Linked DNA regions of Anolis sagrei. The protein of the gene in region 3 purifies or fractionates together with the protein of the main gene of each other region. This does not show direct contact. Links are inferred from orthologs where the notes say so. Each region holds a gene or a part of one and is shown on either strand. Other genes may lie near its edges.

Region 1 (7,995 bases), on a different chromosome or scaffold from region 3:
GCTTTTTTGAGGGGTGTCATCTATAATTTAATTGTCAAAGCTCAATGCTATGTAATCCTGGAATTTGTAGTTTGATGAGGCATCAGCATTCTTTGGCAGAGAAGGCTCAAGGCTTTTAAAAACTACAGCCCCCATGATTCCATAGCACTGAACTATAGACGTTAAAGTGGATTCATTCCACAACATAGATGCACTCCACTGTTTCTTTTCCATTGCTGAGAGCTTTGGTGTTCTTATTTAATAGTTTTTACAGAAGGAATTCTAAGCAGGGAGTAACTGTAATGGGCATAGTACAAAAAGTGTGTATCTTTTGCTGCTATGCATTGCAATCGTTAGCAATTTTTTTGTTTTTAGGTGTTTGAAAATTGAGGTAAACATTAGATTCGATGGTACCTTAGACTTGAGTAAATATGGGTACATACATATTCCAAAATCTGGAAAAAAAACTTCAAATCCAACTCCCCTTCTAATCCCAAGCATTTAAGATAGGGAATGCTTGACTTGTACTTGGTAATTAAGAACTACAACAAATTAATTCAGAATTTTGTTCAAAGAACAGATAATATTGTTAATTGAAATTACAATGCCCAGGACTTAGCAGCAAGTTTTGGCAAATTACATCTCCTAGTATGAACCTGCCCAGGCCCTAAGATCTTCAGGAGAAGGCCTTCTATCAGCTCTGGCTGCCTCAACTCTGGAGCTCCCCTTCTTCCTAGAGAAACCTGATCGGCCCCTCCCTGCTGTCCTTTTGTTTTGGTGGCAGGCTAAAACCTCTCTTTTCAGGCAGGTTTTTAAAGAACATTTTAAAGGCCAATCCTTGGGCGGGGGTGGGGTGGGGCAACTAGCCCCTAGGTATTTTAATAGATTTTAGTTATTTAAATTTATAGCGATTCTATGTTCAAGACTACTTTAATATTTATATGTTGTAGACTTTAAACTGCATTGCCTCAATTAAGGAACGTTAGCTATAAATAATAACAACAATAATCAGCATGCATCTCATACCAGTTCTGGTCCCCACTTCGCATGACAGAGGAGGCCAAGCACAGTTTCTCCCGGATGGACCATGGCTCTGTGGGCCCGACATTCAGCAACTTGTGCTCTGGAAGTCAGAGAGAGAAAGAGAAGAGATAAACACTGCAATGTTGCAACCTGCCCACAGATCCTTTTGTGACAGCACCTCAAAATAAACCTAACTTTGTCCGTGCAGCCGCCAATCTCAATCAATACTCCTATTTAAGTAAGCCTCAAGAGCAGCATGGGCAAACTTGGGCCCTTCAGGTGTTTTGGACTTCAACTCCCAAAACACTTGGAGGGCCCAAGTTTGCCCATGCCTGTTCAAGAGACTGCAGTAGTAGTATGCTGCTAGGTTATAGTTCTCAGCCCTATGAATGCCCTGAAAAGGTGTGTGGCAGCAGATATGTTGTTTTAAAAAAGCAATGCTTTTCATGAGAACCACCACTCCTCTTAATGTCCTCCACTCCCCCCCCCCCCCAGCAATAGCAAGGGAATCCCCTCTGGGCAGCTAAACCAGGAAATTCCAATTGGATAGCCCCCCATGAAGGTCTTCCTCCAGGGGCAAACCAAAAATGAGCAACTTGGAAGTCCCTAAACAGACTCAGAAGTGGACTGTGCAGATCAAAAGACAACCTGGCAAAATGGTTGTCAGTCGCACAAGGTGGAAGAATCTGCGACTGCGGAGCAGAACAAAAGACTCTGCAGCTGTATGTGTGCCCACAATGCCCTGCTTCATGCACAGAGAAAGAACTGTTTAAAGCTAGACAATGCTGGGTTGCTGTGAGTTTTTTGGCCTATATGGCCATGTTCCAGATGCATTCTCTCCTGATGTTTCACCCACATTTATGGCAGGCATCCTCAGAGGTTGTGAGGTCTGTTGGAAACTAGGCAAGTGGAGTTTATATACTTATGGCATGTCCAGAGTGGGAGGCTGGCCATTCCAAAGCCAGACTCTCAAGCTGCAAGGAAATTAAAATGTGAATTAAGGTAGCCAATTACAACATTTACACCTGCCTCAAGCAGACAAGAGTTCCACATAAATCCCACTTGCCTAGTTTCGAACAGACCTTACAACCTCTGAGGATGCCTGCCATAGATGTGTGCAAAACGTCAGAATGCTTCTGGAACATGACCATACAGCCTGGAAAACTCACAGCAAACCAGCGATTCTAGCCATGAAAGCCTTTGACAACACAATGTGGTCGCTGTTGCCCTTTTTTGGCCAAAAATTATTTAGCTGGTTGTGTTCCCTCTATTTTATCAGTTTTATAATTTATTTATGCAATTCTTTTGACACATTTTTTTCTGTGTCAGGAGCAACTTGAGGAGCCCTCAGTGGTGCAAAGGGTTGAACCCTTGTGCCGGCAGGGCTGAAGGTTTGAATCCGAGGAGAGCGCGGATGAGCTACCCCTGTCAGCTCCAGCTCCCCATGCAGGGACATGAGAGAAGCCTCCCACAAGGATTGCGAAACATCAAAACATCAGGGCATCATCTTTGCAGACAGCCAATCCACCAGAAGGGGCTTGCAGAAGCGACACGAAATAAATAAGAAGATATGTTTTTCCCTACATGGAGGAAAGGGGGGGGGGGGGGGGGAAGCCTGGTAAATGTGTTGTCGAAGGGTTTCATGGCCGGAATCATGGGTCGCTGTAAGTTTTTCGGGCTGTATGCCCATGTCCCAGAATCATTCACTCCTGACGTTTCGCCTCTCACAACCTCTGAGGATGCCTGCCATAGAGGCAGGCGAAACGTCAGGAGAGAATGCTTCTGCAACATGGCCATACAGCCCGAAAAACTTACAGCAACCCAAGACCTGGTAATTTTATGGAAGCTGTTAAAAAAACGCAGGCACCCTGTCACCCGCCGCCCGCTCGCCTTATTTCCTTCCTCCACCCTCTCCTCAAAAGACAGACCCCCACTCACTACCCGTCCCGGCGGCCATCTTTCCGACGCACGCCCGGTGCGTGCCGGGAAAGGGGCCGCGAGCTATGCCATAGAGCGGTGGGCGGTGCTTCCTCCTCAAAGCCGCGTTCTTATTGGCCGACGCCTTGCTTTCCCTTCCCGGCACGTGTTTGGTCTGAGCCGGAAGCGCGACAGTGCGGGAGAGGCGCGTGGCTCCTTCCCGGCGGAGAAGCAGGCATGGGCCGGGCCAGCAAGCGCCAGGAGGCCGAGGAGGAGCAGGCGGCGCCGGAGACTGAGGCCACCCCGGAGCGCTCCTACCACGAGCTGGTGGAGAACGTCAACGCCATCGCGCGGCCCCTGGCCTCCCGCAAGCTCACGCGGAAGCTCTACAAGTGCATCAAGAAAGGTGCAGGAAGGAAGGGGTTGGGCCTGCATCTACTGTACTCAGGCATGGGCAAACTTGGGTCCTCAGCTTAAGCGGCTGAGGGTGAAAAGGAAAGGGCCTGAGGCTGTTAGGAATTGTAGGAGTTGAAGTCCAAAACATCTGGAGGGCCCAAGTTTGCCCATGCCTGGCCTAGGTCAAACTGCATTAACTCTGCAGTGTAGGTGCACCTTTGGGAAAAGGGGAGGTTTTAGGGGCAGCACTCCTGGAGAGAGGGGATGGGGGTCTTCAGAGGGCTCCCTTTCAAGCCTCCTTGCTGGGTTGGTGGCTTCCCACATACATATTCTCTCTCCCCTTCTACTTGCAGCATCGAAGGTAAAACAGATTCGGCGTGGAGTGAAAGAGGTCCAGAAGTTCATTAACAAAGGCGAGAAGGGGTAAGAATCTTAACATGATTTGCGATAGAAGACTCCCCAAGGACCACCCGGTGCGCTACTCACAGATGCCAGCCCCTCCTTTGCCAGAAAAGAAAGTAACACAGCCATGGGGTTGGAAGAAACCCCAAGGGCCATCTAGTCCATGCAGAAACATCCAAACAAAGCACTTGTCGGATGGCCATCCAGCCTCTGCTTAAAAAGATTCCACCCCTCTGAGGGAAAAAGACTCCGCCCCTCTGACGGAGCAAATTCCATTTCACTAAGCATAAACTATTTCTTGTCCCAGGTGTAATGTCATGTTTGCAGTTAGCTGCCTTTAATTCTCATACCAGGGGAAAGGCAGTATAAAAATGAAGTAATTAAATTAATATTGGAATGATCACAGGTGCCTCGCGCTTAATTCCTTTAGAGCATTTGTCTTTTTTAGTGCTTCTTAAGCTATCTAATATGGGGGACAACTGCCCCCCTGCTCCCCAGAAAGCCAGAGATAAGCACACTTGTGCTCATTAACTATAACTACAGTATTTCCTTCTTGGAAACAACATGCACCAGCGGCCAGTAGATTACTGACCTGCACCAGCCCACAAACCACCATTTTGGGTATCAGTAGGTATTCTGCCTATGCAGGAATCTGCGATATTGTTCCTTGAATGATTTGCTTCCCTCAGAGTTTCCTGTGTCAAGTTTGACACAGTATGGCTGACTTCAGTTCAGTCATCCGCTGCAGATCTTGGAACTAAGTCCTCTCTTTGTAGTGTTCCTGATTGTTATGAGTGAATTACAGGGTGTTTCAAAATGATGGACACAGTTTGAAAGCAGTGTATTTCACCATGGTAACATCTTATAGTTACACAAAAAGTTACAAATGGTTTAATGAGTTATCATTTTTACTATTTTGAGCCAGAAACAAACCTAAAAATTAACTCCTCAAATGGAAAATATCTCATTAGTCCTTATGTGGGTCACCATCTTGCAAATGACTGAGGCTAAAGGCTGTTTGTAATTCTTTGAAGTTCTATGCCTCATCCTTCCAAAGGGTAAGTTTCATTTATGAGTGGTTTGTGGTTGCAGAGAGATAGCCATTTCAGATCACGTCCTTCTTTTAGAAACACCTTGTATTTCTGTGTCATGTGGGAAACTAAAATGTGCCCATGTGTCAAAAATGCAAACTTTAGGAGGCCACAATGATGATGAAGCCATGATGAAGCCAGAAGTCATATAACAGCAGCATTGTTTTCATTTGGATCTGCATAATGTTAACCTCAGTGCCTCACACTGACCTATTTGCCTTTTTTATTTCTCACATTCTGTCTGTGTGAGAGTACGAGTCTCTTAAGTCGAATCCAATTTATGTGAATACTGACCACACTACAAATATTTAAAAATTAGGTAGCAGAGAATTGGTTTGTAAAGCAGCTGCAGAGAGCAGAATTTACTCAGAAATTCTGCTGAGATTGAGGAGGCTTACAACTATCAACAGTATTGCAACTTTATATTATGAAGAGGGATTAACAGTAGCTTTGTTGTTCTCCCACTTCATTAAGGAGCAATGTCTAGTCCTTTTTTAAATGGTATCCTGCCTGTTTCTCTTAGGATCACAGTTCTTGCAGGAGACACACTGCCTATTGATGTTTACTGCCATATCCCCATCATGTGTGAAGACCGGAATCTTCCATATGTCTACATCCCCTCCAAAACGGTAATGATTTAGAGGAGGAACAGGGAAGGGGGCCTTCTTATTTGTATGTCTTATGGGAACTGAATGCAAGTTGGGAAGCTACAGGCGGTCCCCGAGTTACAAACATCTGACTGGGTTAAGAACGGGGGCGAGACAACAGGAAGTGAGAGAAATCTACCCCTCAGAAGGGAAATTCACTCCTGGAAGAGTTATCATGTGGGAAAGTTGTCTCCACTGAAACTTTCCCACCAATCCTTTTTACCACAAGACGGGTTTATCAAAATCCAATTGTTACAAGGACAGAGGGTGAGGTTAAATCTTCTGAACAGGGGAACAGACAGCAAAACAAATACCACAGGGGTGTTCACCCTTCCCTATGTTATCCAAAGCTAAAAATTACTTATTTTTGGCTGGAATTACACTGAAAAATATTATTTGTTCTGACTTACATACAAACTCAACTTAAGGACAAACCGACAGAACCTATTTTGTTCATAACTTGGGGGCTGCCTGTATTTGCATTCAGTTCAGTAATTTGTAATGCTATTGAGGGTGAGTTGCGGGCATATATAATGAATGTCTTTGAAGTTCTACTTAATAGAATCTTAAATATGGTGTCCAGATTCTGAAAGAGATAATTTGCCTTTATCTGCAACCTTAAATTTTGTGATCCAGGCTGTCCACATTGACTGAACCAGGTTTGAATGCAGGGGCTGATGTAAGGGATTCCTGTGTTAAAGAGGTCAAAGCAGGATACAACCACTTTCATATAGAAAGTCTTAGATTGAGTCTCCCTGCTATACAGGATCATGTTATAGCTTTGTAACAGTTTTAATAATGTCAATTACTGACAGTCAATTACAATTTCTATAACACAGGAAAATCATTTTGTATTCTGAAATAAGTGCCACATTGCAGGTTTTATGAGGCTTTTGAAAATTGTCATCTTTTTGATGTGGTGGGATTGATTTGTCATGCTCAAAAACAATGGATCAGTTCATCTTGACTTATGGGACATGTTTATGTAAATTGTGACAGTGGAGCTATGTATCTGTTAAATCATTTGTAAACTAGACAAATATTTGTTTTCTTTTCTCAGGATTTAGGAGCAGCTGCAGGTTCAAAACGTCCAACTTGTGTTATCTTGATTAAATCTCATGAAGAATATCAGGAAGCCTACGATGAGTGTTTTGAGGAGGTCGAAGCCCTTCCACTCCCATTGTGAACATCAACAAAATATGTTCATGGACTGATTTAAATTTTCATTTAGGTTCATTCCAGTTGAGTAATAGCTACACAGATTTGGAACATTTGGACAGGAGAACTTGCCTTGAATAGAGTACTGCAGCTAATACCGTCTGCAGTCCAACAACTCTTTTCTGTTTTAACTGACTTATGAAGTGTGTTTTTTACAAAATGTGATTTATTTTGCAATATAATCTACTGCCTATGTGGATATATCGAGCTGTAAAGGCATTCTTATTTGATATAAATGCAGTAAAATATTTTCTAAAACATCCTATATGCATGGAACATTCTTTTACTGGCTGTCTTGGCCTATACATGCAGTTGATAAGGTATCCATCTTGTTTTTATGCAGCCTTTGCATATTTAATATGGAGCTGGGGACTTAGGAACACTGAAGGTGGGGAAACTGTGACTACAGTGGGGGCAGGACAAACATTCTTAGAGGGCTTCCCAGACTATTGGAGCTGAGGTATGAAAAATGTGCCCCACAACAGGTACACTCACCCAGCTGCCTTATGCTTTTTTTTGGGTGGGGGGAGGAAGGACTAGCAATCACAGACACCCCCCCCCCCCGCCATGCCTAGGACTGCTGTGTGCACATCAATAGATCCCTGTGCCTCAAGAGGAAGGAGAAGATGAGTGCAGTTAATGTACTGTCTACTTCCTTTTTAGTCTGGGCTGCTGTGTGAATGCATATGCGCATTCACACAGCAGCTCCACATCTCAGGAGGGGGTGGCAACTCTGGCTATTGGTGCTCCCCCTCCAGCTTACAAAAAAATTGTTCTTAAACTGAATTTGTATGCAAGTCAGAACAGGTACATTTTTAAAGTTAACTCCAGCCAATTTTTGTTTAGTTTTGAATAGTATAGGGAAGGGTTAACACGTTTATTTTGCTGTCTGCATCCCTGTGCAGAAGGCTTCACCTCACGTTGTCCCCATGACAATTGGATTTTGACAATTTTTGGTTGTGGAAATAAGGATTGATGACAACGCTTCAGTAGAGATACCTTTCCCCTCCCCATGATAACTCTTTCAGGGTTGAATTTCCCTTCCTAGGGGTAGATTTCCTCAGTTCTGCAGTTTCAACTAAGTCTGAGTTCAAAACTATGACTTGCTACTTCCACAATGAAATGAAATTTCTGTTTCAGTTTGTAATCTAGATTTTTTTGTTCTTAATCTTGGATTCCCAAGATGATTTAGATTTCAGCTCTTGGAAGCCCTGGCCATTACTAAGGAGTTGGACAATGAAATGTTGAGAATTAGTGCTATCAATCACTACATAATAAAATGGAAGGAGATACTGTATGGGTGATCTCTAGAGGGTTTCTGT
Region 2 (7,463 bases), on a different chromosome or scaffold from region 3:
TCAGTCGCCTGTGTCTTTCCCAGAGAACTGTACTTGAGCCTTCCTCATGGTTGTGGCCTCCCTCAAGTCACTAGTTATGGGAACTGAGGGATCTCATGTGAAGGAAGGCCTCCAGAACAGGTGCAGAGTTCCATCAACTGACGCTTTGTAAAGAATCCAACTGACTAAATTTAACCGGGCAACTTGGGCCCTCCCTCCAGCTGTTTTGGACTTTCACCATTCCCAACAGCCTCAGGCCCTTTCCCCCCCTCAGCCGCTTAAACTTAAGGAAGGGGTCAACCAGCCAAGGCCCATCCTCTGTTTGGATATCAGCCAACATGCCAACACTTTAAATCAGGAAGTAGTTTTGTAAGATCATATTTGCAGGAACATCTCAGCAAGCAAGAGTCCAAAAGTGTCAGCCAAAAACCCGGAACCTCAAGCCATGGCTGATACCAAATGAGAGACTCCCCCCTGGGCACACAGAAAACTGGGCGACTTGGACTACCTGCGTGACCACATTTCTGTGTATGAACCCACACGATCTCTTCATTCATCTGGAGAGGCCTTCCTTGCGCTCCCACATCTATCGCAGGCGCGACGTGGGGACAAGGGAGAGGGCTTTCTCAGTGGTGGCCCCTCGACTCTGGAATTCACTTCCCAAGGACATCAGGCATGCCCCAACTCTGGCAGTCTTTAGGAGGAGCCTGAAAACGTGGTTGTTCCAGTGTGCCTTCCCAGAATAATGAATTCTCAGCATTGTGCCCTCCAAATGCACTTTACATTGATTTAGGATTGTTGTACGCTCCCACTAACGCCCCATCTCTCCTACCTTATTCATGCCTAGCATTATTTTTAACTTTAATTACATTTGGCCCAGCCATACATTGTAATTGTGTGTTGTATTATTGTCATTGTATATTGCTTTTTTGTTATGAGTTTTATTTAATCTGTTTTACTGTTGTTGTTATTGCTTATATTGATGTATTGTGGGCTCGGCCTCATGTAAGCCGCATCAAGTCCCTTGGGGAGATGGTAGCGGGGTATAAATAAAGTTTAATAATAATAATAATAATAATAATAATAATAATAAAAGGCGCTGAACAGACTGCGCTCTGGCACCACGAGATGCAGAGCCAATCTTAAGAAATGGGGCCACAATGTGGACTCCACAACATGAGGGTGTGGAGAAGAACAAACCACAGACCACCTACCACAATGCAGCTTGAGCCCTGTCATATGCACAATGGAGGACCTTCTTATAGCAACACCACAGGCACTCCCAAGTGGCCAGCTACTGGTCAAAGAACATTTAGTATAATGCTAAGTTTTTAACTTTGTGGCTTTAAATACATTACGACTGTACCCTCAGTTCGCTTCTGATACAATATAAATAATATAAATAAAGATTATTATTAATATTATTTGATACATAACAAGATTAGTACACAGAAAACAAGATCACTGTGCTATCTTTTGTATTTTATCACATGTTGGACACTTCCCAAGTGTCTAGGACTATGTGATGTATTGGCGACTAATATGTGCAGATCCAAGAAGGGGTGGCCTTTTGTAGTTGACAGATGGTAATTTTGTCAGTGCCGTTTGTTTTTAAGTGCAGGCCAAGGTCTTTGTTGTTGTTGTTGTTGTTGTTATTTTATTACCACACAGCAAACAAGATCACTATGCTGGCTTTTGTATTGGATCACACTTTGGACACTTTCCAAGCGTCTAGGACTATGTGATGTATCGGTTAGTAATCCGTGCTTATCCAAGTAGGGTGGCTTTTTGCAGCTGACAGATGATAATTTTGTCAGCGCCTATTGTTTTTAAGTGCAGGCCAAGATCTTTAGGCACTGCACCCCAGTGTGCCAATCACCACTGGGACCACCTTTACTGGCTTGTGCCAGAGTCTTTGCAGTTTGATCTTTATATCCTCACATTATTATTATTATTATTCTTTTACTGACACAAAAACACAGTATGACACAGCAAACGAAATATATATGCTGGATTTCGTATCACAAAATCACAAGTCAAACACTTCCCAAGCGCCTAGGACTGTGTGATGTATTTTTGAATGATGCGCGCAGATTCAAGTAAGGTGGCTGATTGCATTTTATGGTTTGTCCATTTGGCATCTCTATGCCCTCATTGTGAGTAATTTTCCCTTTCTTTAATGCCATTGTGGCACATTTGTCTAGGCCAAACTCCATACTGATGTCAGTGTTGAAGATTCTGACTGTGTTGGTCAATGACTTGATTTCAGTTTTTGATTTTCCGTAAAGCTTTAGATCAGTGGTTCTCAACCTGTGGGTCCCCAGGTGTTTTGGCCTACAACTCTCAGAAATCCCAGGCAATTTACCAGCTGTTAGGATTTCTGAAGGCCAAAACATCTGGGGACCCACAGGTTGAAAACCACTGATTTAGATCATCCATGTACAGCAAGTGAGAGATTTTTGGTGAATTTCTTGCTGTTTGGTAGCCTATGTTTGTTTTCTGTAGAATTACTGACAGTGGGATAATTGCAATGATGAACAGCAGTGGTGACAGTGAGTAACCTTGGAAAATTCCTCTCTTGATGTTAATAGTTCCATAGCTTTCGCTGCCCACAAACAACTCCATTTTCCATTGTTTCATTGCATTTTCAGTGAACTTTCTAATATTTTCACAAACCCCGATGACATCTAGAAATTTGATAATCCAACAATGTGTCAGTGAGTCAAATGCTTTTTTGTAATCAATCCAAGTTGTATAGTAATTATTATTATTATTATTATTATTACTTTACTTAGGCGATCCCTCATATCTGAGGATGATGGTCCTCCAAGTTCGGTGTCCTGGTGGTGGGTTCGTAGGTGACTGGAGCCCTATTCTTGATCTGCATCTTCTTCCACAGTGACGGCATTGGTTTCCAGGTTGAAGGTGGTCTCGGATGGGCCTTCCTCTTGGCACATTTTCTCACCCTCCATTCGTGCCTCTTCAAATTCTGCAGCACTGCAGGTCACAGCTGACCTCCAGCTGAAGCGCTCAAGGGCCAGGGCTTCCCAGTTCTCAGTGTCTATGCCAGAGTTTTTGAGGTTGGCTTTGAGCCCATCTTTTATTTATTTATTTATTTATTTACAGTTCTTATATTCCGCCCTTCTCACCCCGCAGGGGACTCAGGGCGGATTACAGTCAACACATATATGGCAAACATTCAATGCCAGTTTGACAAACAACATTTAACACACAAATACACCAAGGCTATTTAACTTTTTTCTGGCCGCCAGGGGAGCTGCTGCTTTTCATCGTCCATCAACAACACCGATGAAGTTCTTCCGCATTCCACATTCCCCGGAGTCTTCTTTCTTTATGGCCTCATAAATTAGTTAAATTTAGCCTCCCACACAAGGTGGTCCCTTATTTTCCTACTTGACAGATGCAACTGTCTTTCGGGTTGCAAAGGTCGACAATGGGCTACACAATGGCTGGACACCCACTCCAGCCCGGGCTGGCTTCGAACTCATGACCTTTTGGTCAGAGTGATCTTAATGCAGCTGACACTCAGCCAGCTGCGCCACAATCCCGGTGCTTTAAATCTCTTTTCCTGTCCACCAACGTTCCGTTTCCCGTTCTTGAGTTCGGAGTAGAGCAACAGCTTTGGGAGATGGTGGTCGGGCATTCGGACAACATGGCTGGTCCAGTGGAGTTGATGGCGGAGGACCATTGCTTCAATGCTGTTGGTCTTTGCTTCTTCCAGCACGCTGACATTTGTCCGCCTGTCTTCTCAAGAGATTTGCAGGATTTTCCGGAGGCAGTGCTGATCGTTCCAGGAGTTGCATGTGACGTCTGTAGACAGTCCACGTTTCACAGGCATATAGCAGAGTTGGGAGGACAATAGCTTTATAGACAAGCACCTTGGTATCCCTACGGATGTCCCGGTCCTCAAACACTCTCTGCTTAATTCGGAAAAATGCTGCACTCGCAGAGCTCAGGCAGTGTTGTATTTCGGTGTCAGTGTTGATTTTGGTAGAGAGGTGGCTGCCAAGGTAGCGGAAATGATCTAATGTTACACCATTAAGCTGTATCGCTGGCATTGGAGAGGGGTTGGCTGGTGTCTGCTGGAACAGGACTTTGGTTTTCTTGATGTTCAATGACAGGTCGAGCTTCTTGTATGCTTCTGCGGAGGTGTTCAGAGTGGCTTGTAGATCTTCTGAATGCGCACAGACAACGTTGTCATCAGCATACTGGGGGGGGGGGTCACCAAATACAACTCCCTATATTCCACAGCATTGAGCTATGATAATGCTGACGCCTTTCCACCGCTAGAAGGCGCTCAGGCTAGTTCAGGCGAGCCTGCGCCTCGGGGCCAGCAGGGGTCGCTGTGCTCGAGGGCCGCGCCTGGGCGAAGGAAGGAGGGAGGGAGGGAGAGAAGGCCTGGGCGCGCGCTGGCGCGGTGGGCGCGCGGTGGGGCCTGTGCCGGCAGAGGGCGCTGCGGGGCTGCTGCTCCTTCGGCCGAAGAGGCGTCCAGAGACGAAGGCGGCGCGGCCCAGGCCGGCGGCGGCGCTGCTGCTGCGAAAATGGCGGTGCGGAAGAAGGACGGCGGCCCCAACGTCAAGTACTACGAGGCCTCCGACACTGTCAGCCAGTTCGACAGCGCGCGGGTCTGGCTGGGCAAGAACTACAAGAAGGTAGGCCCGGGCCTGGGCCTGCCGGACTGCCATCGGAGAGGCCTTTCGGGGCTTCTCCGCCCCGGATCACGGCCGGCCTGCTAGCAGAATGGGAAGAGAGAGGGACTGGAGATCTTAAGGAAAGGGGGAAGAGGAAGGGAGGGAGGTGATGGGCATCGGAGGGGCACCGGGCCCCCTCCCCACCCTGCCTTCCATGGGGACGGAGGGAGAGAGGGAGGGAAGGAGGGGATCCTTAAAACTGCACGTCTTACATCAAAGTCTCTCCCTTGGCCCCACGAGCAGCACCTCCATTTATTATTCCTACTCCCTTTCCATCAGGAATCAGCCCTCTTTGGATCACCAGCACCTCCTAGAAAACAGATCCCCCCTTTTTTCTTGAGAAATGGCCATAATCTCAATTGCAGGGTGGCAGGCACGTTTCTTTGACATCTTCGCGCCTGGTGCCCTATTGTCCTTTGCCCCAAGATCAAGCCCTTCTTATTCTCCCATTCATTAGTTCCCACCCTTCTCTACAGATCCCTTCAGGACCTGACACGGAAACTTTCATTCATTGAGGCGTTTACTTGACCTTGCATTTTTTGTTTTTGATTTTAGTGCAGGGTGGGTCAAAAGTCACAAAGAGGTCCTGCATCCTGTACGTGATGCAGGGGTATTGGATTGCCATTTATGAGATTGGATTTTTCACACGTCATGTACATTTATTTATGAGATTCCATTTATGAGATTGAATTTTTCTTGTGTAATGTATATATAAATTAAATATATGCACACAGCGGGTTAAACTGCTGAACTTGCTGACCGAAAGGTCGGTGGTTTGAATCCAGAGAGTGGAGTAAGCTCCTGCTGTTAGCCCCAGCTTCTGCCAACCTAGCATTTCAAAAGCATGCAAATGTGAGTAGATCTGTAGATACCCCTTCAGTGGGAAGGTAATGGCGCTTCATGCAGTCATGCTGGCCACATGGCATTGAAGGTGTCTATGGACAACACTGACTCTTCAGCTTACAAATAGAGATAAGCACCACCCCATAGAGTTGGACACGACTAGACTTAATGCCAAGGGGAAATGTTTACCTTTACCTATCATCATATATGTTATTGTATATTAAAAACAAAACATAAAGGAGCAATAAAGTATTGAAACCCTTTCATGACTTTTGGCCCACCCAGTACCTTCAAATTGCTTTTCGTTCTCCTGGAGCAGCCTCAGTCCCTTTCCTTCCTGCTGGAGATGTGCTCTTTGGCAAGCAGAAAACTTAGCAGTTTTGCAATTTTGAAATGGGATGTGCTGGTTTATTCCCTTATGAGAGATGTTTCAATAACCTCTTTTGGGCATCCAACCTTGCTTTCATTTATTTGTTCTAATGTCAACAGAAATCAGAAATGCATTGTGTATTACAGTTTACAAATGGGGTTGTATTGGAAATGTGTCTGCTGTTTTCTGCCAACAAGTGTCATTGGATGTTGAATCAATGTATTTCTCAATCTCCCTTGTGTCGGCAAGTCTGCTGACCAAAAGGTCAGCAGTTCAAGTCTGGGGAGCAGGATGAGCTCCATCTGTCAGCCCCAGCTTCCCATGCAGGGACATGAGAGAAGCCTCCTACAGGATGGTAAAACATCCGGGCATCTCCGGGCAACATCCTTGCAGATGGCCAATTCTCTCACACCAGAAGCGACTTGCAGTTTCTCAAGTCACTCCTGACACGAAAAAAAAATCTCTGTAATTTGTTAAGAGGAGCCAAAGGCCCAGAAGCTGATGTGAAAGCTGTTTTTAATTCCCCCTATAGACATGCACTTCTCCATAGAGGAGATGGGGACTTGGGTGGCTAGGTTCTGTGTTATGGGGCCCACACAGCCTTTTCAGTTGCTGTCACACGAAGAAGCATGGTCCAGCAAGTTTCCTCTCTTAAATGCTTTGCACTTTGACAGCTGCTTCCGTTCCACATGCTGCTGCCCAGGACTTGATTCCCAGGCTCTTACCTTTGACCTTTCAAGTGAGAGAGAGAGAGAGAGAGAGAGCGCATGCCTCAGTCCCCAGACAATTCATTGTGTTTGGAATGACAGCTTCTGACCCCATGCTCACCACTTCCCTGCTAGCAAGTTTGAATCTCTTGTCAACTGCCCTAGTTATTTGCACCAAAACTCAAGGCTGAATCTGCACTACTACATAATACAGTTTGAAATGCATTGCGTGGTTAGTGTAGACCCATACAGTGCAGTTTGAACTGCATTGATCTGCATTATATGGGTCTGTATTGACCATATCATGCAGTTAAAACTGTATTATGTAGTAGTGTAGATCTAGCTCAAGATGGAGTCCCTTTGTAGACCCTGTGCTATTACAGCGAGCAACTTTTCCTGTTTTGATGGTGTTTCCAGACAAATTAAAAAGGAAGTTTAAATGAGGGCTATTTAGGGTAGTGGGTTTCTTTCCATGGTTGCTCCTCCCCATGCTTGAGTTAAGGAGCCCTGTTCTGGCAAGACTGCTGACTGAAAGGTCAGCGGTTTGAATCTGAGGAGCGGGGCGAGCTCCCATCTGTCAGCACCAGCTTCCCATGGGAGTCATGAGAGAAGCCTCCCACAGGATGGTAAAACATATGCACTTATCATAGGCAACATCCTTGCAGACGGCCAGTTCTCTCACACCCGAAGCGACTTGCAGTTTCTCAAGTAGCTCCTGATACTAATAAAAAACTCTTCCATTATTGTTATGGACACAAGTGGGACCCATTTACTAGTTATGCATGAAAAAAATAAACCTCTCTAAGAAAGATGATGGTCTATGTTGATTATAATGCTATACAGTATTGATAC
Region 3 (7,194 bases):
TTGGAATCTGTCCTGAATCCCCTTGGGGAGATAAGAGTTTTATTATTATTATTATTATTATTTGAAACACAACAAGATGAGCTCACAGCAGACAAGATCACTCTGCTGGCTGTTGTATTGGATCACACATCGGACACTTCCCAAGTGTCTAGGATTGTGTGATATATTGGCGAATAATGTGTGCAGATCCCAGTAAGGTGACATTCTGCAGCTAGCAGATGGTAATTTTGTCAGTGTCGATTGTGTTTAAATGCATGCCAAGGTCTTTAGGCACTGCACCCAGTGTGCCAATCACCACTGGAACCACCTTTACTGGTTTGTACCAGAGTCTTTGCAGTTCGATCTTTAAATCCTCATATCGTGTCAGTTTTTCCAGTTGTTTCTCTTCAATCCTGCTGTCACATCGACAATCCGTACTTTGTTTTTTAACATGATCGTGAGGTCAGAAGTATTGTGCTCCAAAACTCTGTCTGTCTGAATTTGGAAGTTCCAGAGTAGTTTGACATGTTCATTTTCTGTAACTTTTTTCCAGATTATGATTCCACCAGTTCTTTGTTGCAGGCAAATGGTATTTGTGGTATTATTATTATTATTTAATCTGCTAAAGATTGCTGGTGCCTTGCCAAACTACAACTCTCATGAGCCACGGCTCTTAATGTGGGCAAGTCAATGAGATGTGGAAAAAAATATATTAATGTATGAAAACGAATTCAAGAGGACTAATAAGGACAGGGCTAACACATAAATATATCTGTTTATCCTTCCAATGAATTATGCTGGGGGAAATGGAAGGAAAAAGGAAGAGGGGTCGACCAAGGGCAAGATGGATGGATGGTATCCTTGAAGTGACTGGACTGACCTTGAATGAGCTGGGGGTGGTGACGACCGACAGGGAGCTCTGGCATGGACTGGTCCATGAAGTCACGAAGAGTCAGAAACAACGTAACGAATGAACAACAACAGCCTTCCAATAATCAGCATAGCACCCCTAATATCTGGGCCCCCCTGGTGGTGCAGCAGATTAAACCGCCAAGCTGCTGAACTTGCTGACCAAAAGGTTGGCAGTTTGAATGCGGGTGAGCTTCTGCTGTTAGCCCCAGCTTTTGCCAAGCTAGCAGTTCAAAAAGATGCAAATTGCACCACAATTCAAGAGAGATATTGACAAACTGGGATGTGTCCAGAGGAGGGCGACTAAAATGATCAAGGGTCTGAAGAACAAGCCCTATGAGGAGCAGCTTAAAGAGCTGGGCATGTTTAGCCTGAAGAAGAGAAGGCTGAGATGAGACATGATAATAATGTATAAATACGTGAGAAGAAGTCACAGGGATGAGGGAGCAAGCTTGTTTTCTGCATCCTTGGACACTAGGACGTGAAACAATGGCTTCAAACTACGAGAGGAGATTCCATCTGAACATGAGGAAGAACTTCCTGACTGTGAGAGCTGTTCAGCAGTGGAACTCTCTGCCCCGGAGTGTGGTGGAGGCTCCTTCTTTGGAAGCTTTTAAACAGAGGCTGGATGGCCATCTGTCAGGGGTGCTTTGAATGCAATATTCCTGCTTCTTGGCAGGGGGTTGGACTGGATGGCCCATGAGGTCTCTTCCAACTCTTTGATTCTATAGCAGATCAATAGGTAGCATTTCAGTGGGAAGGCAATGGCACTCCATGCAGTCATGCTGGCCGCATGACCTTGGAGGTGTCTACGGACGACGCCGGCTCTTCAGCTTAGAAATGGAGATGAGCACAAACCCCAAGAGTCAGACACTATAATGTCAGGGGAAACCTTTGCCTTTACCTATTTATTTGTCGTGTCAGATCAACCAGTCAATTATATTACATTTCTAACAGAACAAAGCAAACAGACAAAATACAATACCTTTACCTTACCTACCCCTAATAGCTGCTAAACTGTACATGGGTTTGGGTCAACTTGGGCCCTTTAGGTGTTCTGGACTCCAACTACCGGCTGTTAGGAATTGTAGGAGTTGGGAGTCCCAAACACCTGCGCATGCGCAGTGCAGCGGCACCCTAAGAGACTCTGGTGGCGCTTCCCCCTCCTTCTCTCTCACCTTGCCTTTCCGCACGCGCTGCACCTCAGCCTGGAACTCTTGCTGTCGGTCCAGGTCCAAGGAAAGGAGCGGGGCCGCCTGTCTGGCCTTGGCTTTCGCCTTCGCCGCGGAAGAGCCTTCTGTTACCGCCGCCATGGCGCCTCCGCAGCAGGAAAAGGGGCCGCCTCTGCCTCACACGGCGTGTGGCTGCCAAGAAACGGAAGCCTCCTCTCGTCACTTCCGCTTGGCTGGCTTGGTGCCACAGTAGGAACAAGGACGGCAGAACAGCGGCCCCTGCTGGCTGGGGGCGGAAGTACTGGATGAGGAGTGACTCCAGTGATATTCACAAATGCAAAGACAGCCAGACCTCCATATCCTCGCATTCTATATAATATAATATAATATAATATAATATAATATAATATAATATAATATAATATAATATAATATAATATAATATAATATAATATAATATAATAATCATCATTGTATATCATAGGATATACGTGTGTGTGTGTTTAAATTTGGGTCCCATATACATTTCTCTCTCTCTCTCTCTCTCTCTCTCTCTGAAGAGCAACCTTTGATTTTGCCATTTTACAGAAAGGTCAACATTTTACTATGTTGTTGGGCCCTGTTCCATTATCATCACTGTATATCACATGAGATATGTATGAACTTGGATCCTATATATATATATATATAATCATAGAATCAAAAAGTTGATCATACAGTATTGGATAATCAAGAAAGGTATTTTATGCAAGGCTGCACTTAGAATCAAAGACTTGGAAGAGACCTCATGGGCCATCCGGTCCAACCCTCTGCCAAGAAGCAGGAATATTGCATTCAAATCACCCCCGACAAATGGCCATCCAGCCTATGATTAAAAGCTTCCAAAGAAGGAGCCTCTACTACACTCCAGGGCAGAGAGTTCCACTGCTGAACAGCTCTCACAGTCAGGAAGTTCTTCCTCATTTTCAGATTGAATCTCCTCTCTTGTAGTTTGAAGCCATTGTTCCGTTGCGTCCTAGTCTCCAAGGAAGCAGGAAACAAGCTTGCTCCCTCCTCCCTGTGGCTTCCTCTCACATATTTATACATGGCTATCATATCTCCTCTCAGCCTTCTCTTCTTCAGGCTAAACATGCCCAGCTCCTTAAGCCGCTTCTCATAGGGCTTGGCTAGTGTATGTATGTATGTATATATATATATATATATATATATATATATATATATATATATATATATACTAGCCATCCCCTGCCATGCGTTGCTGTGGCCCACATGGGGGTTCTGTGTGGGCGGTTTGGCCCAATTCTATTGTTGGTGGGATTCAGAAGGCACTGTGATTGTAGATGAACTATAAATCCCAGCAACTACAACTCCCAAATGTCAAGATTCTGTTTTCCCCAAACTCCACCAGTGTTCACATTTGGTTATATTGAGTATTCTTGTAGAGTTTGGTCCAGATCCATCATTGTTTGAGTCCACAGTGCTCTATGGATGTAGGTGAACTACAACTCCCAAACTCAAGGTCAATGTCCAGCAAACCCTTCCAATATTTTCTGTTGGTCATGGGAGTTCTGTGTACCAAGTTTGGTTCAATTCCATTGTTGGTGGAGTTCAGAATGCTCTTTGATTGTAGGTGAACTATAAATCCCAGCAACTACAACTCCCAAATGACAAAATCATAATTTTTTGAGTGATGGTCACTCCTTGTGTTGTGAGACGTTTTGTTGCCAAATTTGGTGTGATTTCATTCATTGGTTCTTTTGTATATATATAGATAGATATAGAAGATAGATAGATTAATTAATTAATTAATAAATTAAATAAAAATATTAATAAAAATAAATTAAAATAATTAAAATAAAAAATAAAACAGATTAAACTCCCAAGCAAAACATGCAGAAATCCAATGCTCTCCCTTGACTAGACTTTTCCCTCTGTGCTGATCTTCCCACCAAAACTACTACAAGGCAACCAAACTTGAATCTTCTCCTCCCATTGGAGGGACACAAACCCTATGATACCTACTAGGCAAAACGAAAGCCAATCAGGAGAGCCCTTTGCAGTTGGCTCCTCCAGCGATAGGCGGGCTTTGGAACAGCGGCGGGCTGCCGATTGGTGGAGAGAGGGAGAGGAGGCGGGCCTTAGCGAGGTAGAACGGGAGAAAGGGATCCCGCCGCGCGCTGTGAAGAGAAGCAGAGCGGAGCCTCGGTTGCAGCCATGAGCGGCGGGGTCTACGGAGGAGGTGAGCGGAGGGCTTGGCGCATGCGCGAGATGGGAAAGCCAGGCGGGGCTGCGGCGCCTTTAAGACCGAAGGGAAGGGGACTCTCCTTTGAATGACTCTGGAGTGGAAAGCAGGCTAGACTCTCTGAAGTTGCAGCTAGACCAGGCCTGGGCCAACTTGGGCCCTCCAGGGGTTTTGGACTACAACTCCCACAATTCCTAACAGCCGGTAGGCTGTTAGGAATTGTGGGAGTTGTAGTCCAAAACCCCTGGAGGGCCCAAGTTGGCCCAGGCCTGCCTGATCAGAAATACAAGCTGATGGCTTTGCTGACATCTTCCAAACTAGCTCTCACTCCTTGATGGATTGTCACTTTGTTGTGTTTGGAGACTTGTTAGGAGACTTGTTGTGGTTAGGAGACTTGTGTCTTCCAGGCCTCTGTAACTTCAATGTATTTTGCCCATAAACTTACTTATTTATTTGTTTATTTATTTATGATATTTCTACCCCGCCTTTCTCGAATCCGAAGGTGACTCAAGGCGGCTTTTCAACATCAATCCAGACAAGACAGAGGTCCTCCTGGTCAGACGCAAGGCCAAACAGGGCATAGGGTTACACTCCCCCTTTTATTTTGTCGTGTCAGGAGCGACACAAGAGACTGCAAGTCGCTTCTGGTGTGAGAGAATTGGCCGTCTGCAAGGGTGTTGCCCAGGGGACGCCCAGATGGTGCAGGTTTGCAGCTTGGGAGTCATCCTGGATTCATCGTTGAGCCTGGAACACCAGGTTTCGGCGGTGACCAGGAGAGCTTTTCCCGTACCTTGGGAAGTCTGACTTGGCCACGGTGGTCCAAGATCTACAAGCCACTCTAAATACCTTTGCAGAAGCGTACACGAAACTTGGCCCGTCACTGAACATCGAGAAAACCAAAGTGCTGTTCTAGCAGTCACCAGCCATCCCCTCTCCAATGCCAGAGATACAATGGTGCAACATTAGAAAATGTTGACCATTTCCGCTACCTTGGCAGCCACCTCTCCACCAAAGTCAACATCGACACCGAAATACAACACCACCTGAGCTCTATGAGTGCAGCATTTTCCCGAATGAAGCAGAGAGTGTTTGAGAACCAGGACATCCGTAGGGATACCAAGGTGATTGTCTATAAAGCTATTGTCCTCCCAACCCTGCTATATGCCTGTGAGACGTGGACTGTCTACAGACGTCACATGCAACTCCTGGGAAGACAAGCAGACAAACGTCAGTGTGCTGGAAGAAGCAAAGACCACCAGCATTGAAGTGATGGTCCTCTGCCATCAACTCTGCTGGACCGGCTACGTTGTCTGGATGCCTGACCACCGTCTCCCAAGGCAGTTGCTGTACTCTGAACTTAAGAATAGAAAACGGAACGTTGATGGACAGGAAAAGAGATTTAAAGATGGGCTCAAAGCCAACCTTAAAAACTGTGGCATAGACACCGAGAACTGGAAAGACCTGTCCCTTGACCGCTCCAGCTGGAGGTCAGCTGTGACCAGCAGTGCTGCAGAATTTGAAGAGGCAGGAATGGGGGGCGAAAGAGAGAAACGTGCCAGGAGAAAGGTGCGTCAAGCCAACCCCGACCAAGACCGCCTTCCACCTGGAAACCAATGCCCTCACTGCGGGAGAAGATGCAGATCAAGAATTGGGCTCCACAGTCACCTATGGACCCACCAGAATACTGAGCCTGGAAGACTATCCTACTCGGCAGCCAGTGGAGATGGTGTAACAAGGGCGTTGTGCACTGCCTGTACCCAGCCCCAGTGAGCAACCTGGCTACTGAACGTTGGACTAGTTGAGGCTTCCGGGCAGTCTTCCGGGTTGCCTCTGAAGACTGCCCGGAAACTGCAATAAGTCCAACGCTCGGCAGCCAGGCTACGGACAGGAGCGGGGTACAGGGAGCACACAACTCCTCTGTTGCGCCAGCTCCACAGGCTGTCAATTACCTTCCAAGCACAATTCAAAGTGCTGGTTTTAACCTACAAAACCAGATACGGTTTCGGTCCAGTTTACCTGTCCGAACGTATTCTCCCCTATGAACCATCAAGGCTGTTAAGATCTTCCAGAGGGGCTCTGCTCTCAGTTCCACCACTTTTGCAATTGTGTCTGGTGGGGACGAGAGACCGGGCCTTTTCCATGGTGGCCCCTCGGCTATGGAACTCTCTCCCAAATGAGATTAGATCTGCCCCCTCTCTCCTTACCTTCAGGAAGCTAGTGAAATCCTGGCTATGGATTGAAGCTTTCCCAGAATAATGGCTGAGACCGGCAACAGACTAAAGTTATTGACATATGCGGACTAAGTTGGACATGATTTTACCTTGGTGAACTGGCTTATATGTATTTTACTTTATATGTATTTTAATCTACTGTTGTATGATGTTTTAAACTGTGTTGTGGCATTGTGAGCCGGTCTGAGTCCCTCTGTGGAGGTTGAGAAGATCGGGATATAAAAGTTTTGAATAAATAATAAATAAATAAACTTATTTGCCTCATAAGATTTTGTTTTTGTTTAATCAAAGTTATCCAGAGTCTATATTTGTGTTTGCAGATGAAGTTGGAGCTCTGGTCTTTGATATCGGGTCTTACACTGTGAGAGCTGGCTATGCTGGAGAAGACTGCCCAAAGGTAAGAACAAAAGTGGGCTGTTATTACCTGGTAACAATGGCATCGTCTACACTGCCATATAATCAAAGCAGATTATCTGGATTTTATATGGCAGTGTAGTAAGAGCCATCGTTTCGTGCCAGAAATACAGTTTAATGGTGTAACATTAGAAAATGTATTGCCGTATTCCTGAAGAATTCTCAGAGGTGATGAGGTCTGTTGGAAACTAGACAAGTGAGGTTTAAATATCTGTGGAATGTCCACGGTGGGAGAAAGAGCTTTTGT
Region 4 (7,840 bases), on a different chromosome or scaffold from region 3:
ATATTCTGGGATATAGGGCTGTGTGGAAGGATCCAGAGTGTGGGTCTAGGTAGGTATGTGGCGCATGGGCTGCTACACACCCAAAGCTGTGGGGCTGTGGAAATAATGTGGGACTTTCTGCCTTGGTATTCTAGGATATAGGGCAGCGTGGAAGGGCCCAGAGTGTGAGTCTGGGTAGGTATATGGTGCAAGGGTTGCCACACACACAAAGCTGTGGGGCTGTGGAAAGACCCCAAGTGTGAGTCTGGGTAGGTATGTGGTGCAAGGGTTGCCACACACACAAAGCTGTGGGGCTGTGGAAATGATATGGGACTTTCTGCCTCAATATTCTGGGATATAGGGCTGTGTGGAAGGATCCAGAGTGTGGGTCTAGGTGGGTATGTGGCGCATGGGCTGCTACACACACAAAGCTGTGGGGCTGTGGAAATAATGTGGGACTTTCTGCCTTGATATTCTGGGATATAGGGCAGCGTGGAAGGGCCCTGAGTGTGGGTCTGCGTAGGTATATGGTGCAAGGGTTGCCACACACAAAGCTGTGGGGCTGTGGAAATAATGTGGGACTTTCTGCCTCGATATTCTGGGATATGGGGCTGTGTTTCCACAGGGCCCTGAGCGTGTGTCTGGGTGGAGAGGTGGTGCAAGTCTTGCCTCACACAAAAAGCTCTTGTTTTCCACGAAGGGAGCCAGCCCAGCCCAGCTCTCTGTGGCCTGAAAGAGGCTGAGACAGTGTCCCTCGCTAAGCCAGGCGTGGAAAGTCAAAAGGGGAAGAAGGAAGGAGGGAGAGGCGGCGGGGAATGCTTACCTGGCTCCTGCCGAGGGCCTGTGCGGCGGCGGCGGCGGTGCTGGCCCCGGGGCTCATGGCCGGGTGTCCCCGCTGTGGCGCGGCGGCGGGGGGCCAGGCCGGGCTGGCGTTGGCGCTGCTGGCCCCGAACGGGCCCCCGTCCTTGCCCGCCAGCCCCGCCGAGGAGGAGGAGGAAGAAGAAGAAGAGGCGGAAGAAGAGGCGGCGGCGGCGGCGGCTTGGGTGGAGGGGGGCTGGGGCTGCGGGGCCGCCGGGGCCGGGTGCCCGTACTCGGGGTACCCGCTGCTGCCCCCGTAGCTCCGCATCATGGGGCTGGGCGAAGTCAGGAGCTGGTTCAAGGTCGGCGTGGCTCCCGAGGGGTGCTGCTGCTGCTGCTGCTGCGCCGGGCCCGGGAAGCGCTGGAAGCCCTTACTGCCGCCTCCTCCTCCTCCTCCTCCGCTTGGGCCCAGCATCATGCCCTGCGGAGGGAGCTGCCTGGGGGAGCCCAGCACCCCGAAGGCCGAGGACGGGCTGTTCCCATAGCTGCTTCCTCCTCCTCCTCCGCTTCCTCCTGCTCCAGCTCCAGGCCTCCCGTAGGCGTAGTGGTTGTAGTGCCCGTGGGCGAAGGCGTCGTGGGAGTGGGGCGCGGGCTCCATGCTGAGAGGCCCCCCTGTTACTCCTGCTGCCGCCGTTGCCGTTGCCGCGGGGAGCATTAGCCCCATCCCGGGGCTTTGTTGTCCGCCATGTTGATCAAAGCAAGGCCCGGCCCGGCTGGCGGAGGAGGAGGAGGAAGAGGAGGAGGAGGAAGAAGAGGAGGCGCTGTTGCCGTTGTTGTTGTTGCTCCCGCTGTAATAGCTATTAAACTCCGAGGCGGCGGAGGGGCCTCCACTATTGCCACCACTACTACTACTTCCTCCTCCTCCTCCTCCTGGTCCCATTTTCTCCGCGTCTGCTTCCTCCCCTCCTTTCTTCAAGGCCCTCGCCGCCTTCCCCGTGGCCGCCCCGGCCTGGTTGGGGGCCCCCAAAGCGCCTTCGTGGCCTCCATGTTGCTGCTCTTGAGGCGGCTCCATGTCTGCGCTGCCAGGCTGAGCAGCGCCTCCGCCGTTGCTGTTGTGACTCTGTTGCTGCTGCTGCTGCTGCTGCGGTTGGAAGGGGCTCCTGTGCAAGGCCTGCCGGAGCTGGAAGGGCAGCGAGGCCGCGTGAGCGTGGAGGTGGTCGCCCCCGACGCCTTTCAGCTTGTGGTTGGGCGCCAGGCCGGCCTCCATCGCCGCGAACAAGCCGGGAGACTCTTTGAGAAGCGCCTCCGAGGGAGAAGAGCCGCCACCGCCGATGATGTTGCTTGCGTTGTGATTCGAAGGAGGAGAAGGAGTTGCATTATTGGCCGCGCTCAGCTCATGATGGTGGAGGCGGCGGTGGAGGAGGTGGTGGTGGTGCTGGTGGAGCTCCACGTTGTTTAAGCCTCCGCTCTTGTTGTTGCTGTTCGTCCCATCTGCGCCCAGAGAGTCCTGGCTTAAGCTGCTGCTGTTGCTGCTGCTGGTGTTGTTTCCCGGCAAAGAGGGGCTCTTGCTGCCTCGGTTGTTCTCCCTCGCCGCCACTTGCGCGGCCATGATCAAGGCAACATGGCTCACTCCGGGAGGAAATAGTCATAAATAAGGACGCAAAAAAGAAAGAAAAAGGGGGAAACCCCAAGAGGAGAGGGAAACACAAACCCCACAATAAGTGGGACGCCGGATTGTTTGCCAACCCACCCAAAAAAAACCCAAAATAATAGATTGGTTATTCCATATTGAGTTCAACTCCCCTCCTTGGCTGAGTCCTTGCTTAATTAAGGACGCCCGTGGTGGGCTCTCACGAGGAAAGTTATTTTGGGAGGGGGTTTTGAGGGGGAGTCAATAAAACTTTTCCTTTCTTTCTCTCTCTTTTCTTCCTTTCTCTCTCCTTCCTTCCTTTCTCTCTCTCTCTCTTTCTTTCTCTTTCTGTCTTTCTTTCCCCGCTTTGAACCCGGATATGGGTAAATATAACTAAATACACGTCTGGCTGCGCCGATCTGGCCCAGCGTGCATGGCAGGAAGGACAGAGAGAGAGAGAGAGAAAAGGAGCTCCAACCACTACGATCCACTTCTGCTGAGAGACTGGGCCGCATGGAAAACGCGGAGTGGATTCCGATCCCGGATTCTGCGGAGGAGGAGGAGGAGAGGAAGGGAAAGCCCGCCTGGCCTCTAGCGCTGAGCTCGGCAGAAACGAGGAAACATGAGGCTTTTAGACCCTTCCACATAGAACAGGGAAGGGTCCCCTTTTTAAACAGAGGGCCAGGTCAGTCCCGCAAACTGTTGGAGGGCCGGATTATAATATGAAAAAAAAGAAGAATTCCTATGCACACTGCATATATCTTATTTGTAGTGCAAAAAACACTTAAAAACAATGCAATAATTAAAATGGCGCAGTGGGTTAAAGCACTGAGCTGCTGAGCTTGTTGATTGAAAGGTCACAGGTTCAAATCCGGGGAGCGGAGTGAGCTTCTGCTGTCAGCCCCAGCATCTGACAACTAGCAGTTTGAAAACAGGCAAATGTGAGTGGTTCATTAGGTACCGCACCAGTGGGAAGGTAACGGCGCTCCATGCAGTCATGCCAGCCACATGACCTTGGAGGTGTCTATGGACAACGCCGGCTCTTCGGCTTAGAAATAGAGATGAGCACCACACCCGTCAGCCCCAGCTTCTGCCAACCTAGCAGTTTGAAAACATGCAAATGTGAGTAGATCAATATGTACCACTCTGGCAGGAAGGTAACGGCGCTCCTTGCAGTCATGCTGGCCACATGACCTTGGAGGTGTCTATGGACAACGCCGGCTCTTCGGCTTAGAAATGGAGATGAGCACCACACCCCAGAGTCAGACACGACTGGACTTAATGTCAGGGCAAAACCTTTACCTTTACCTTAACTAAAATGAAGAACAAGTTTAACAAATATAAACTTATGAGTATTTCAATGGGAAGTGTGGGTCTGCTTTTGGCTGATGAGATAGGATTGTTGTGTGCTTTCAAGTCATTTCAGAGTTAGGTTGACCCTGATCGAGGGCCGGGTAAATAACCTTGGAGGGCCATATCCAGCCCTTGGGCCTTAGTTTGGGGACTCCTGACATAGATGAATAAAATTCCACATTATCTGCTTTGGATCAGAATATATGGCAGTGTGGACTTGGGGACCTTCCACACAGCCCTATATCCCAGAATATCAAGACAGAAAATCACACAATATCTGCTTTTAACTGGGTAATCTGAGTCTGCACTGCCATCTATTCCAGCTCAAAGCAGATACTGTGGGATTTTTTGTCTTGATATTCTGGGATATAGGGCTGCATGGAAAAGTCCCATGTCAGACTACACAGAGAAGCCATTGAAATCCACAAGCATGTGGACAATTTTAACAAAAAAGAGGTAACTATGAACAAAGTCTGGCTACCAGTATTTTAAAAACTCAAAATAAAGACAGTAAATAAAGTGCAACTCTCTGAAAACAGATAGGAAACAATCAGGACCAGCTAATCACCTCCCAACAAAGGATTCCACCAGGCAGGAAGCAGCTAGGCTTTGAAGCTGCAAAGCTATTACATGCTAATCGAGAAGGCCAATTGCAACATTCACACTTGCCTTAAACAGACAAGAGTTCTCCCCCCCCCCCCCCCCGGGCATTCCACAGATATATAAACCCCATTTTCCTAGTTTCCAGCAGACCTCACAACCTCTGAGAATGCCTGCCACAGATGTAGGTGAAATATCAGGAGAGAATGCTTCTGGGACATGGCCATACTGCCCAGAAAACTCACAGCAACCCAGTGACAAAAAGCCTTCAGCAACACAGGCTTTACAACTGTTTTGTATTGTGTGTCACTTTCTTTTTATTCCTTCTCAATATTACACCTCGACCATTTGTGTCCATTGAGCTCCTTTTCACACACTTCCAAAGCACCAATACACTAAACTGACCTATCAGTGTTAGTTTTTGGAATGGCCTGAAAGGGTCCTCTGCATCAATCACACGATCACATTTTAAAGAAACCATACTTTGAAGCCATTTAGGTGGACGTGAGAAAAATACCTTTATTCTCATTATGTGCAGGATACCACACGGTTAAAAGGCATAGATTAAAAAGACCAGCAAAACACACATATATTAAAATACATAAGATTAGAAAAACTCATAAGCAAAAGATGACAGTGCCCAACACACATTTTAGTATCTCCAATGTTAGTCCTGTTTCTGGGTGTATTTCACCTGCTGGTTCCAAAAATGGCACCCGTTCTCCCCTATCAGCTTTAGTTTTTTCAGATACAGAACATATGCCATCTACTAGTTGCCATCTGCTCACCCATAAAATATCAGGATCTTTTAATGTGTTTAAATTAATATCTTTCAAGCACAAAGAAAACATATTAAACATTAAAAGAAAAGTGTGCTGCATAAGAATCTACGTATTTCATACCAAAAGCACAGATTTATGATACAAACTTTCCACACATGTGTTGTCAAAGGCTTTCATGGCCAGAATCACTGCGTTGCTGTGAGTTTTCCGGGCTGTATGGCCATGTTCCAGAAGCATTCTCTCCTGATGTTTGGCTCACATCTGTGGCAGGCATCCTCAGAGGTTGTGAGGGAATTCCATACAGGAAACCATTGGGGCCAGCTAACGTCTCAACAAAGAATTCCCCCAGGCAGCAACCAGCCAGGCTTTGAAGCTGCAAGCCCATTCAGTGCTAATCAAGGTGGCCAATGCTGACTGACAGCAATTCTCTCAGTTCTTTCTGACCTCTGTCTAGAAATGTTACAGACTGAACTCTAAACCCTTTGCACATTAACTACGTACCCCACCACTACTCTTATTAAGTGTAAGTTCTGTTAAAATGATTGAATCAGTCCTAAAATGTTTATTTGGAAGACTAACAGGCTATTCCATCAAATTGTTCTACCCAAGTAGCACACCATGCACTAACCACACAAATGGAATTCGCACAGAATCAGACTTGTGAAATGTACCATTTGATGAAGATAAACTACACAAACTCTCAAATATCAACTATGTTGATGTACTCAAAGGTTTAGTCCATTAATTAACTGATACATTGATTTAAAAACAAGACAGCTATTTGACTAAAAAGCCCTCATTAACTGGCATCCCTTGAAAACAATGTTCATCTGGAACTTTACCCTCAGAAATATTATTGTCCATTTCATGTTAGCAGCATTGCTTTAAAGAGTATGTGAGGATGCATTTTAATAACTGCAGTATCATAGTCTCTGCTATTTCCCCACGTGCAAATATTTTTATAAAAATTGTGTGTATGTGTGTAAGAGAGACTAAGAATACAGTAGAACCCCCATATGTGTGGGACTAATATCTGCTGTTTAATTTATCCACATTTAACAAAATACCATATGTCCTTTCTAGCCATTTTCTTGGTCCTCCAGCATGTCATCGTGGTTAGGTATTTTATTTATTTGTTTGTTTGTTTTAGGGCATTTATATCCCTTCCTATCTCACCTCCACAGAGGGACTCAGGGCAGGTAACAACCGGCACAGCATAGTGCCCACAATAAGAAAAGCATTTGTTATTCATTCGTTCAGTTGTTTCCGACTCTTCGTGCCTTCATGGACCAGCCCACGCCAGAGCTCCCTGTCGGTTGTCACCACTCCCAGCTCCTTCAAGAAAAGCATAAATATACATAATATAATAAAACAGTATAAAAACAATATAAAAATATTAAGTACAATAACGAATTCAGTGATAATCCTAAAAACAGTCCATCATAGTCCATTAAAACCATAACTTCGCCAGTCAGTCTAGTCAGCAAAGGCCCGATCCCACAGCCAGGATTTCACTTTTTTTCAGAAGGACAGGAGAGATGGAGCAGATCTGATTTCGTTTGGGAGGAAATTCCTTACCCAAGGGACCACCATGGAGAAGGCCCTGTCTCTCGTCCCCACCAAGTGTGATTGTGATGGTGGGGGGACAGAGCAGGGCCTGCCCTGACTATCTTAAGGTCCTAGATGACTCGTAGCAGGAGATACGTTCGGACAGGTAAACTGGGCCAGAACCGTTAAGGGCTTTATAGGCCAAAGCCAGCACTTTTGTGCTCAGAAGCTAATAGGCAGCCAGTGGAGCTGGCGTAGCAAGGGCATGTGAGCTCTCGGTACCCCATCCCATGAGCAACTTGGGTTCCAAGTGATAGACTAACTGAAGCTTCCAAACAGTCTTCAGAGTCAACCCCACGTACAGTGCATTGCAGTAGTCTATTTGGGATGTAACCGAAGCGTGGACCACCGTGATCAAGTCTGACCTCCCAAGATATGGGCGCAGTAGGCGCACAAGTTTTAATTGTGTGAAAGCTCCCCTGGCCACCGCTGAAACCTGGGGTTCCAGGCTCAGCAATGAGTCCAGGATCACTCCCAAACTGGAAACCTGTGCCTTCGGGAGTGTAACCTCATCAAGCACAGGCTGTAACCCTATACCCTATAATGCTATTCATTAAATTATGTCTGTATGTATGTACTTGTTGGCATTGAATATTTGCCTTTTATGTTCTCAGCTGCTCTGAGTTCCATACTGAGAGATGCGGTGAGATATAAAGTTTCATTAGTATTATATTCTTGGATGGGAAGTCCTTAATTTAAATGAGATTTGCTATCTTCCCACTGTTTCATGTATCCAGATGAAGTCCAGGAGCATATTCATTATGGATACAGGCGTCATACTAATACCACAATCTATTAAATAAACTAGGAAGTAAAATAATCCAACACAATATTTATAGTACATTCAAGCATATGTTAGAAGTAGGTAAATGATACTTTTATCATAAAGTAGTTGTCCCCAGCCATGTGTTGCTGTGGCCCAGTCTGGTTAAAAGGAAAAGGAAGAGAAGAGAAAGAGCAGGTTACTAATATATTTAATTTCACAATGCTTGTGAGTATGCAATATTTTTTGTTGTTCCATTTTCTGTGCAGAGATAGAGATTGTGTGGTTTTCCAACTCTAGAACGTGCAACATATAATTGTCCATGTG

The links.
Region 1: the proteins of ACTL6A (region 3) and BRD8 fractionate together in Homo sapiens (co-fractionation; 4 studies listed by BioGRID and IntAct, with this or other methods). This does not show direct contact. The link is inferred for Anolis sagrei from reciprocal best matches to the Homo sapiens genes ACTL6A and BRD8.
Region 2: the proteins of ACTL6A (region 3) and SMARCC2 purify together in Homo sapiens (affinity purification with mass spectrometry; 8 studies listed by BioGRID and IntAct, counting the BioPlex papers as one, with this or other methods). This does not show direct contact. The link is inferred for Anolis sagrei from reciprocal best matches to the Homo sapiens genes ACTL6A and SMARCC2.
Region 4: the proteins of ACTL6A (region 3) and ARID1B purify together in Homo sapiens (affinity purification with mass spectrometry; 5 studies listed by BioGRID and IntAct, with this or other methods). This does not show direct contact. The link is inferred for Anolis sagrei from reciprocal best matches to the Homo sapiens genes ACTL6A and ARID1B.

The regions. Positions count from the first base shown.
Region 1 is NC_090022.1:76,370,941-76,378,935, forward strand, and holds the start of BRD8 (bromodomain-containing protein 8), read right to left. Parts: upstream 3,011-7,995; 5' UTR 2,960-3,010; coding exon 2,941-2,959; exon of another isoform or gene 2,931-2,940; intron 1,103-2,930; coding exon 1,006-1,102; intron 1-1,005. Other genes in the region: NHP2 (H/ACA ribonucleoprotein complex subunit 2), read left to right, coding at 3,157-3,325, 3,669-3,738, 5,332-5,437, 6,516-6,641. UniProt on the Homo sapiens protein: May act as a coactivator during transcriptional activation by hormone-activated nuclear receptors (NR). Isoform 2 stimulates transcriptional activation by AR/DHTR, ESR1/NR3A1, RXRA/NR2B1 and THRB/ERBA2.
Region 2 is NC_090022.1:138,276,645-138,284,107, reverse strand, and holds the start of SMARCC2 (SWI/SNF complex subunit SMARCC2), read left to right. Parts: upstream 1-4,453; 5' UTR 4,454-4,541; coding exon 4,542-4,652; intron 4,653-7,463. UniProt on the Homo sapiens protein: Involved in transcriptional activation and repression of select genes by chromatin remodeling (alteration of DNA-nucleosome topology).
Region 3 is NC_090023.1:257,609,256-257,616,449, forward strand, and holds the start of ACTL6A (actin-like protein 6A), read left to right. Parts: upstream 1-4,177; 5' UTR 4,178-4,274; coding exon 4,275-4,299; intron 4,300-6,853; coding exon 6,854-6,930; intron 6,931-7,194. Other genes in the region: NIFK (MKI67 FHA domain-interacting nucleolar phosphoprotein), read right to left, coding at 2,067-2,201.
Region 4 is NC_090021.1:69,803,428-69,811,267, forward strand, and holds the start of ARID1B (AT-rich interactive domain-containing protein 1B), read right to left. Parts: upstream 3,011-7,840; 5' UTR 2,387-3,010; coding exon 803-2,386; intron 1-802. UniProt on the Homo sapiens protein: Involved in transcriptional activation and repression of select genes by chromatin remodeling (alteration of DNA-nucleosome topology).